3 linked regions of the Nothobranchius furzeri genome follow. The protein of the gene in region 1 binds, or shares a complex with, the protein of each later gene. Links are inferred from orthologs where the notes say so. Each region holds a gene or a part of one and is shown on either strand. Other genes may lie near its edges.

Region 1 (3,751 bases):
ACTGCAGCAGCTCTGCCATTTTAAGATGCAGCAGAGGCATCCTGGTCCTGAAAGGCGACACCTTGGCCTGCACCACCAAGGGTCCTTGCCTTCCCCCCCACTCGCAGAGACTTGTCTGTCCTCGGCTGCTAATTATCAACCCACTTTCTCCTCTGTGAGGCAGGGACAAGCCTGTGTTGCATGTTATTAATACTATTGTGAACTACTCAAGGCTGTGTTCCTTGACTCGGCTCATCATGTTACAGGTTTACTGTGCACAACAGAGAAATGGCAGACCCCGTTTTTTATAAAACCACCTATAAATATCACGGGGAACGGCTTTGTCCAGCAATGGTCAGATTCAGGATTTAAAGGCCTTCTTCCTGGGAAAAGAGGGGCTTTATACACATCAAGATGAGGAATTAACTCTGTTTTTGTCCATCTATTAACCAAGTCTCATATTTACAAATGGACTGTAAAATCTGGAAAGTGACACAGCCCCATCTAGAGGCCAAAAGCCCCAGACTGACGACACACTACAAAATATACGCATACAACTTTGTTTTGACCCCCAGGAGGTATGAGCTCAACTCAACAAGCCAATCACGTGATCGGATCTAATCCTGGAACAACACCTCTGGGGACACAAAAGCCATCCAGACCACAGAGAAAAAACCCAAACCCATCAGACTTCTGACTACGTAATCAGATCTAAAGGTCTCAGAAAAAAGTCTGGCAGACAAAAGGAGCTCAGGAAAAGTTTAGTCAGGCTACAAGACCTTTTTTCTGAGACCTTTGATGCAGTGCGGCCTGCTCACTGCCTGCTACTCCCGAAGAGGAAGCGAGCCTTTGTCACTCACTATCCATCAGTCATCATCCAAGACACGGCTGAAGACGCTCTTCTATGATTTGGCTTTCAGATTGTGACTTTTTAAAGTTCTCTTTTATTGTGTGTTTGATTGTAGTTTTTATCTGCTTTTATTGGCTGATTTATTGGTGTTTTTATGAGTTTTATTGTTACTGTATTGTTATGCGCATTTGGTCAGCTCCCATGCTGCTTTTAAATGAAATAAATAAATTGGTACGGTATGAAGTCAGAAGTCTGATGGGGTTTGAATGAAACCTGCTTTTTTCCCTCCATGCTCTGATGTCTGGCACCTGAGGGTGTGCTAAAACGAACAGGCTGCTGCAGTAGAGTCCTCCGTCCTGCGGAGGCGCTGTTCCGTTGCTGTTTGTTAAAAATCGGTTAATCAGACCGGTTAAAGATCCTGCTCGCGCGGAAACCTGCCATTGTAGCTAGCTCTCAACGCGGGTCAAACGTTAAGGTGCATTTGGTCCAGAAGGTGCAGTTTTTGTTTACCGAACACATTTCGTTGGTGTTTTGCTGGAGAGATGGCGTACAGAGGACAAGGACAGAAGGTGCAGAAGGTCATGGTGCAGCCCATCGTATCCTTTGTATGATGGAGAACGCGTGAGTGGAGCTAGGTGTTTAGCAGCCTGGCTAACCGGTGGCCCAGTTCGCTGAACGAACGCGCGGATTCCGTTCCAACTGTGTGATTCTGGTGTTTATGAAAATTAATGAGATGATGCACGTGTTCCGCATCATGTCGGAGAAAAAGAAACGGCCCCGAGGCGAACTTAGCAGCAAAACTAGCGCCGCTAATGCTAATGGCTCCGGTTAGCTGTACCGCTGGAGGTGATGGGAGCTTCTGATCTCCTGAAGCATCGGTTATCCAGAGTACTTTGTAGGACTTTGCAGTTGTAATCGAAAAGGTTCTGAGGACGCCATTGTACAGCTGCCCTCCGACCTCTTCGGGAAATGGCTAAAGGGCAAATTATTCTCTACTCTGACCACCTTTAATCTGCTCTAGCTCGAAAACGACACCACCTGCGCTCTTCAGCCCTGTACTGCAATATCCTAGACTAATGGCAGGTTACTCGAACATAGTTTAAATAGTCCATGATTCATCACATGTGAATTGGATGAACTAAACATTGAAGTTGGACGGTGAAGTTCTGAGTTTTAATTTTATTTTTGGTATTTTACATGAAAAGTTAAAGTCTGTTTATCTGCAGCACTTAATAGCTGATCAGTTTAATCCTGATCTTAATGGGCTTTGTAAACAGTTAGGCTCTGGTCATTTCTCATGTTTAACATTTTATTATCGGGTGAAACACGGGTCGCATTACCAATTTGGATTTTAATATTTAATTTCTACAAGATATACAGTCAGCAGCTATCAGATTATTAGAATTTAGAGTGAGCTGTTTAGCTGAATCCTTCTAACGAAGTGCCCCTAGTGCACACGCGATAATGAATCTTAAGTATACCTTGTTAGATACATGAGCTCCTTAAGGGCTCCTCTACTGAAAAGTACTTTTAAAGCCTGAATTAAACATCTGTCATATTTGAAACAGAGCTGTGAAACCAGGGACCACAAAAAGGTATTAAATGGCCTTTTAAGTAAAGCTTTCACAAATATCAGAGTTGATTTTAATTGTTCTGCTACCAGTGCAGAATAATCCAGTACAGGTTTGAAATGTCTAGGTATTGTTGTTTTGAAACTATGGCTGTTCAGTGTGGTCTAGATGCAGAAAACGTGCTAAAATCTGGTTTCTTGAAGTTTCACAAATCAGAAAAAGGTTTTACAAATCACAAATGATGTTTTTTGCAATCTGCTATTAGTCTAGAATAATCCAGTTCAGGTTTGAAGAGTGCAGGTGTTGTAGTTTTCCAGCCAGAGCAGATTAAAGATGGTCAGAGAAAAATTGGGCGTAATTGCCCTTTAGCGGTTTCCCGGATCTGAAGCCAACTTCAGCCTCGTCTTCCTCAGCCTTTGTGGTTTATAATAACAATAAGTGTAAACATGTTTGTTTGGGTCTAACTAAAGTAGAGTCGGTCAGTGGCATTGGCCCGAACACGAGCAGAACTCCTCTGTGCCGGGTCGGTTACATTGAGATTGTTTGGAGTGGAACCTGTAAGTGAAACCTGAATGAAGGCACGGCCCGAGATGTCCGACCATCAGTCCCAGCCCCGCTGTCATTTATTTTCAGGACATGGTTACCAAATCCTATGTACTGATTTTTATGTTGGCAGCTGCTGAGTGTAACTCTGTTACTTTAAAATGTAATAAGTTACTTTTAATGGCAATGAATAAAGGTAACACTACAACTGAGTACAAATGTAGGCTACAGACGTGCGTGTACTGTTACTGCTGAGCGTTGGTTTTCCTTGACTCTACCTTCAGAACCTTATCTTCAGATACCTTCAAAATGTAAGTTGCTATCCCTTTAGTTTGAAATGGTTTTATTTAGATGAAGAACCTCTAAGTTGTTCCCTGCCTGTCCCCAGCGCTCACGGATCCAGGTGTGGCTGTATGAGCAGGTCAACATGAGGATAGAGGGCTGCATAATCGTAAGTAATGGCTTTGTTTCATTCTTCCTTACCTCCATATGCAACAGGGATGCCTGATAGGTTATCTGCTGCTGGATACCCACGTGGATGGGCTGTTTTTCAGAGTGTTTTCAGGGCCTGTGAAAGGATTTTTTTAACTTTAAAAACTCACCTCACACGGCCCAGAGTTTCTCTAAAACTCATATTAAATATTGAACTTCCTCCGTGCCGTATTGTTCGTTGTAGGATGAAAACTTTACACTTGTCCTGCGGGAAAAGTTCAGCAGGTTCTTTTACGTTTTTGCTGCATTACAGCCTCATTTGGGTCCTAGTCCTTGATCTCTGGAGAACACAGCTGCACCATGAGAATATGAAAGT
Region 2 (3,651 bases), on another chromosome or scaffold:
TATTTCTACTTCTGAGTGTCTGAATATAAAAAAAGCTAAAGGGTTTCAAGGGTTTGGTGCTGGTGGAGAAGATATGTCCAGGTCTCAGGTGGATCATCAGACCTTGTCCTCAGTCCCTAAACATCCCGACAAAGCCTCTGGTTGTTCTTTGGCTCCATTAGAACAACAACAACCTCGTTTGAGTCTCCAACGACCCGCTAATCAGCGAGCACCTCTAGGGTGAGAAGATTTATGGGATGTGGGAACGTTTCCTGGATCCCGACTTTCCTTATCAACAACTCTGGGCTAATCCCTGTGTTGTTGTCATGGTATGGACAGTCCCACGGGTCAGGTATGGGACTGGGTCGTATTATTTAGACACAATCATGTTTTTCTTTAAATTTTCAATAAACTTGGATTTAAGAAACCAAAAACAAAGTTGCTTCTTTTCAGAATGTTTGGTCCAGAAGCCTTCCAGACTTCCTGTTACAGGGAGGAAGGAGCACTGATTTACAGGATCTACAGGACCTTACCGGAGAAGCGGCTTACCAGAACCGGGGCGGTTCTTCTGTCAGTAAGTCAGACACCAATTGAAAACATTAATATCAGATTCTGAACGCAGCCGGCTGTTTTTCAAAGGAATTTCTGGTTACACTTCTTCAGCGGCAGCCCGGAAGAAACCTTAGAGCTCCAGGGATTTTCTCTCTCCGCCGCCACATTGTTAGCAAACAATACCGGCTTCCAGGGGCCGGACTCACCTTACGCGCTCCGGGAGGAGTGGGAGTGAAGATTTTGGCCTGCATGTCGGAGGGCAGGTTGGCGTAGATGGGGAGCACAAGCAGCTCGGCGATCTTAGAGCCGAGCCGCCGGCACCTCTCCTGCAGCATCTCGCAGCACGCTTCGATCTCCTCCTGCAGGAGGCAGAGACACAAAAACACCTTTATTCATCTGCTTTGGGTCATCTCCTTAGGGTCGCTCTAACAAAAGATCAGAACATCAAGCACCTAGTCCTGTCTCTAGCCTCTGATCTGCTCTAAAGTTAGTTTCTCACTTGTGTCTCTGCTGTTTTTTTAATAAATCAGAGAATCTGGATCAGGAGCTCTCCTGCTCGGGGTAACTGTACCTGTCCTGTGAGGAAAACCAGGATGTCTCCAGGCGGCTGAGTGACGTGGATCTGCAGGACCGATACCACACAGGCGTCCAGGTAGTCGGCCTCAGGAGCCTTCACAGCCAAACACACAAACGTCTCATCATCAACGTCTTCGTCCTTCGCTCTTCACAGCTGGAGAAAACTCACCTTAGTGTAGAAGATATCCACAGGAAACCTTCTTCCAGGGATCCGGAAAACTGGAGCATCATCAAAGAAGCAGGAGAAACGTTCTGTGTCCAGAGTGGCGCTCGCCACCAGAACCTTCAGGTCTGGTCGGAACCGGGCGATGTCTTTAATCAGCCCAAACAGGATATCCGTGTGGAGTGTCCGCTCGTGGGCCTCGTCTATGATGACCACGCTGTGGGGACAGAGTCCAGGATTAGAATTTGTCCCGTTGAACATAGCATTTGCTCGTGTTCGTTCTTAAAGATGAGCAGGCATGGTTTGACACACTTTCCCAGACTGACCCAGAGGACTGAGATCACCGTCAAAAAGCAGCCGTGGAGATCTTTCCTCCTACTGTCGTCTCAGTTAGGAACTTGGGGTTGTTTTTGACTCAGTTCTCACCTTGGCAGCTTTTTCCAACTGAGGTTACTTAGTAGGATTAAGGTCTATGTTCTTCCTGACCTATTGGGGCAGCAGTAGCTCAACAGGTTGAGCGGGTTGTCCAGTAATCGGAAGGTTGCAGGTTCGATCCCGGCTCCGGACAGAGAATTCTGCTGTTGTGTCCTTGGGCAAGACACTTAACCCACCTTGCCTGCTGATGGTGGTCGGAGGGACCGGTGGCGCCTGCGCTCGGCAGCCTCGCCTCTGTCAGTGCGCCCCAGGGCAGCTGTGGCTACATCATAGCTCATCACCATCAGTGTGTGAATGGATGAATGATACACTGTAGTGTAAAGCGCTTTGGAGTCCATACTCTGAGAGGCGCTATACAAGTGCGGGTCATTTATCATTTATTTGCAACTTTATTCACATTATGTTGAGAACGCAGCAGCTCGCCTTCTTACAGGGACAAGAAAGTATGATCACATCACTCCTATTATGGCTGGTCTTCACTGGCTTCCTGTTAAGTCTGGGAGTGATTTTAAGATAATGCTGTTGGTTTTTAAATGTCTACAAGGGTTGGCTCTCCCATATCTCTGCGGACTTATTCAGCCATATGTCCCATCTAGGACGCTGAGATCAGCTGACCTCCATCTGCAGATAATGGTTAAAAACCAGGGGTGCTAGAGCCTTACCTGTGATGGCTGCTGGCCTGTGGAACAGCTTGCCCCTAGGGGTTAGGACAGCTGATACCACCGCCTCTTTTAAAGTATGTTTGAAAACACATTAGTATGCTTTGGCATTTCAGTGCTAATCAACAGGCCACAGGCTTTTCTTACTCTTTTTATATGTGATCGGTTTTATTCTTTTTTTTTAATGTATTTTGTCTTAAAAGTCTGTGATTTTATTCTCTTCTAATGTTTCTGTTGGCTCTTTTTAATTTTAATGCTTTACTTTTACTGCCTATGTGCAGCACTTTGGGGCAACGGATGCTGCCATTTAAATGTGCTTTATAAATACATCTGGACTTGACATCTGGTTTAATCTCTGATCATTAAATCTTCAGTCAGCAACCTGGTACTTCACCCTTTGACCTACCTCCACCTGGATGAGATCGCTGCTCTGCTGCACCTGACAGGGGCGTTTTTCAGAAGAGAAAAGATGACATCCGACCTGATGCAGGCAGCGGTATCGGTCCATGTCTAATCTAAACTTGGGCTGGAGGCTAATTTATGCTGAGGCGGCTGTTTTGTTAGCTTCAGCTTGTAATCAGAGTAAAAACCTGAAGTTGTCATGAGACGATCTGAGAAACGAACCTTTGTTCACTTCTCCTGTTTGAGCTGAAAATTCAGACCAGATTGATGATGATGGGACTTGAAGACTGGGATTCATTAACCTCTTGTTAACTGCTCTTTAATGTCAAGAATTTTTCTTAAACCACTGAAAACTGCTGCTGTTAAACCCCTTCTAAAGAAGAGGAAACTAGATCCCTCAGTGATGAGCAACTACCGACTGATGTCTAATCTCCCTCTGATCGGGAAAATTATGTAAAAGGAGCAATGATCCAACTAAAAAATTTTCTGGAGTCAAGTAATATTATGGATGGTTTTCAGTCAGGTTTTAGACAGCACCACAGTACTGAGACTGCACTGATCAAGGTATTAAATTACATTCGTCTCAACACTGACACAGGTAAAGCATCTGTCCTGATGATGCTCGACCTCAGTGCAGCCTTTGACACAGTGAACCACAACGTACTCCTCGACAGGCTCGCAAATTGTGTGGGACTAACCGGTTCAGTCTTTGCCTAAATCAGCGTTTTATCACCTTCATCAACTACCAAGAGGTCTCATGTCCAGACCAGACTTAGAGAAACTTATTCATGCTTTTATTTCTAGTCGGCTGGACTATTGCAATGGTCTCCTAACTGGTCTTCCCAAAAAAGCTGTGAAGCAACTGCAGCTTGTTCAGAATGCTGC
Region 3 (3,344 bases), on another chromosome or scaffold:
CACTCTGGACAAACGCGTCTGCTGAATACACGAAACGGTCAAGTTAACCAGCTGAAACGGCTCTAGCGCTAGCTAAACAACCAGGCGTTAGCAAACAAGCTGGCCCACTCTAAAGGTCTGCTGAACTGTTTTCCACAGGGGCTCTTGGTCGAGTGGTCTTCCCAAACGCAACGAGGCCAAAACCGGTGCAGACACCACAGCCGCCGGCCCGCTGTTCCAGCAGCGGCCGTACCCGAGTCCAGGCGCGGTGCTGCGGGCCAACGCTGCCAACCAACCGCCCAAGGAATGAGAAGCGCTCCCACGGAGACGCTCTGCGTCCTGCGCACACCTCTTGTTGTTAGACGTGATGTCGCATGCTGACATTTTAGAGATCAAACTTGTTGTAAATATGTTTTATAATAAAATGGATTTCATGTTGTTACTAGAACCACCAGTTAACATAATCAGTTCTTACTCTGGTGAGAAAAGCATCTGCTGGGGCTCGTCGTAACTGTAAGAACGCCTGCACAAACACTTTTCCAAGGTTTTATTAAAAATTCCAAAGTGTTAAAATACTGTCCATCATTAGAAAAGCAACACTTAAGACGAGGCGAAGGACCAGGCTTCAGTGGTCTCCTACGTAGTGACAAATGCAGTCGTAATCCAGCGTGAACAGCTCCTCCTCGCATCTGTCCAGCTGGACCGTGGCTCTGCACTTGTTCTTGTCCCGCTGAAGAATCCGGCCCACCTGATCAAGCCAGAGAAGCTGGTCAGCGACGGTTATGATTACACAACCAGTAAGGATCATCTGCTCACCTGGCCCCTGTTCTCCCCCAGCACAACCATCACAGAGTCGTACTCGCCTTTAGGGACGATGGTTTCCAGCATGTCCTGCTTCACATCTGGCACAGTTAAAACGGTTACCATGGCAGCAGCCAGGAGATAATTACATGAACACTAATTACCTGCACAATGACATCTTATGCTTCTCTGCAAGGCACCGATTAGTCTCCCACTAAAAGTCCCAGCATCCCTGCAGGAATGCATGTCACCCTAAAGGGTTAGAGCCGTTCTAGTCAAATCCTAAAAACACGCGAGACCTCGACTCATCAGTGCACGTGGTGTCAGCCGCTGCCACGTCGACTTTACTCCAAACACCCCTCATCTCCACAAGTCTAAAACGGAAAACAAGTCCCGTCTCCTAGAGCCAGCCGTCTGTAGACACATTACTTGTCCGTGTGTGTGTGTAATCTGTCTTCTCCATCCCCAGTGTGTCGTGGAGGATGGCTGCTTATACTGAGCCAGGATTCTCTGGAGGTTTCTTCCTGTTAAAAGGGAGTTTTCCTCTCCACTGTCGCTTTATGCTTGCTTAGTATGAGGATTGCATCAAGTCACTGACACTAGTCAGTGACTCGATGCAATTTGCTGGGTTCCTTATATAGGAAACATTATTTCTGATTGGCTTAATGAACTGACCTGAATTGGAATTTTTATTAAGTGAAGTGCCTTGAGACGACTCTTGTCGTGATTTGGCGCTTTATAAATAAAGTTGAATTGAATTGAACTGTAGGTAAACCAGCGATGTTTGTGGGTCAGACGCTGGAACCTGCTGCAGATAACGAGGGTAAAGGCATCATAAAGACCTGCAGCCGTATTTCCTGTGATCTACATAAAAGATTGGTCAAGTGGAATAAATAAATGGATGCTCCTTGTTGTAAAAGGGGCGATAATAAAGCCTACTGCGTCCCACTTAGCTTCTCCGTGCCGACTCATGTCGCTCCCACGAGCCTTTTCCTCCTGACTGCATCCATTTGGACTTTATTAGTAAAATCTATGCCTTGATCTTTTAAACTGGACCGGTCTTTAAACGGAGACCCAAAACCATTAGGGACCATCATTCGTCACCCCCCCCCCCCCCATAATGCATTGTGACTCACCATCTAACACCCTTCCCTCTTCAGTTCGACAAACGCAGGTAAACGGCGTCAGGACGTCCTCCACTCGCATCTGAGGGAGAGAATCTGGGAATGATGCTGCTCCTGACAGTTTATCCGTGTGATTACTTCAAAGTGGAACCATAAAAGTACCCATAATAACAGAAAGCTCCATAGAAGGGCTTCTTTAAACTCAAGGTTCTGTCTGGGCCCTGGTACCTTTGAGTTGTAGTATCTGCCCCCCTTGAAAGCTTTGTCTATGAAGCGGACTTTGATGTCTCTCTGGAGCCAGGAGGGGGGCGCTGCAGGTTTCTTTGCTTCTTTTACTGGAGGCTTGTCTCTGAAGAGGATAAAGCACAGCATTTATTTTAATCTGAACAACGGCGGCGGAATGATGTGATTCCAGTTGAAACGGAGGCGTACCCGTCCTCTCTGTGCTTCCTCTTCCTCTCGTCTTTCCCTCCATCTCTTTCAGATGATTTATGTTTAGCTTTGTCGCTGCTGCCGATGCTTTTCTCCTCCCGACCCCGTCGTTCTCGCTCCTTTTCCTTGTCTTTGTGTGCTTTACTGAGCCGACCTGTTTGGGGGAGAAGCGGCGACATTAATATGACGGACGGACGTCAACAATGTAGCGTGGATTCTGACTGAGGCGGTACTTTCAGATTACTGTAAACACAAGGTGGGTCCTAATCTGTTTAGGTGCTTTACTGTCTGGGCCGTCGCTTTGACGGTAAATTCAGGAGAAAGATGGCAGCTTTCTCATCGACTGTGCCAGTTTTTGAATAAAAAGCACAATTCTCACTGAGGTCTTTGCTGTACTTGTCATATTCTTTCCTCCCCACTAGTCTGACGCCGTACTGGCTGACCGTCACCGCCTTGCCGCCGATAGCAAGCTTCACCACCACCCGAGCGTTGTCTGCATCCACACCTTCGATCTGCCACACAGGAATTAAGTTTGAGAAAGGTTGTTAAAGATAAACCTTGGTGAACAGGTGAGAGAGGAGAAGCTCTACCTTCCCATAAAGATCCCTATGTGCCCCCGACTCCACCAGCACACAGCCCCCAGGACCCATCAGCAGCTCCTCCTCCTTCCCCCGCTCCTCGCCGGGCTTTGGGGGACGCTGATGTCTGCTGGGCTCCAGATCCTTTATCGCTGAGCGATCTGCTCCCAGGCCGAGGCCCTTTGGACGGAGCTGGTGTTCGATTGGCTTCACGTCTCTGGTGGAGAGGCAGCAACAGCATTGAATCAATACGGAGAAGGATGTGAACAGGAGCTGGAGGTAGGCACGGCTCCAGGCTGGTGGGAGGGATTCAAGCAGAACCGTAACAAAGAAAACATATTAAGAGTCTCGATATCAACCGAGATGAAATTTGGGACAGAAGAAAGCTGAAGCTTCACATAAAGTACCGTATTTTCTGGAATATAAGTAA

The links. Proteins that work in one complex are often made in the same cells at the same time.
Region 2: snrpe (region 1) and dhx16 share a complex: the UniProt entries of both Homo sapiens proteins name them as parts of the minor spliceosome. The link is inferred for Nothobranchius furzeri from reciprocal best matches to the Homo sapiens genes SNRPE and DHX16.
Region 3: snrpe (region 1) and gpkow share a complex: the UniProt entries of both Homo sapiens proteins name them as parts of the minor spliceosome. The link is inferred for Nothobranchius furzeri from reciprocal best matches to the Homo sapiens genes SNRPE and GPKOW.

What each region holds. Positions count from the first base shown.
Region 1 is NC_091743.1:2,209,432-2,213,182, forward strand, and holds the start of snrpe (small nuclear ribonucleoprotein E), read left to right. Parts: upstream 1-1,231; 5' UTR 1,232-1,371; coding exon 1,372-1,425; intron 1,426-3,227; coding exon 3,228-3,254; intron 3,255-3,331; coding exon 3,332-3,394; intron 3,395-3,751. UniProt on the Homo sapiens protein: Plays a role in pre-mRNA splicing as a core component of the spliceosomal U1, U2, U4 and U5 small nuclear ribonucleoproteins (snRNPs), the building blocks of the spliceosome.
Region 2 is NC_091745.1:60,410,680-60,414,330, reverse strand, and holds part of dhx16 (pre-mRNA-splicing factor ATP-dependent RNA helicase DHX16), read right to left. Parts: intron 1,488-3,651; coding exon 1,277-1,487; intron 1,202-1,276; coding exon 1,103-1,201; intron 891-1,102; coding exon 738-890; intron 1-737. UniProt on the Homo sapiens protein: Required for pre-mRNA splicing as a component of the spliceosome. Contributes to pre-mRNA splicing after spliceosome formation and prior to the first transesterification reaction.
Region 3 is NC_091755.1:41,965,342-41,968,685, forward strand, and holds the end of gpkow (G-patch domain and KOW motifs-containing protein), read right to left. Parts: intron 3,132-3,344; coding exon 2,927-3,131; intron 2,849-2,926; coding exon 2,716-2,848; intron 2,491-2,715; coding exon 2,337-2,490; intron 2,254-2,336; coding exon 2,133-2,253; intron 1,987-2,132; coding exon 1,917-1,986; intron 882-1,916; coding exon 796-881; intron 728-795; coding exon 605-727; 3' UTR 512-604; downstream 1-511. Other genes in the region: pqbp1 (polyglutamine-binding protein 1), read left to right, coding at 139-289. UniProt on the Homo sapiens protein: RNA-binding protein involved in pre-mRNA splicing. As a component of the minor spliceosome, involved in the splicing of U12-type introns in pre-mRNAs.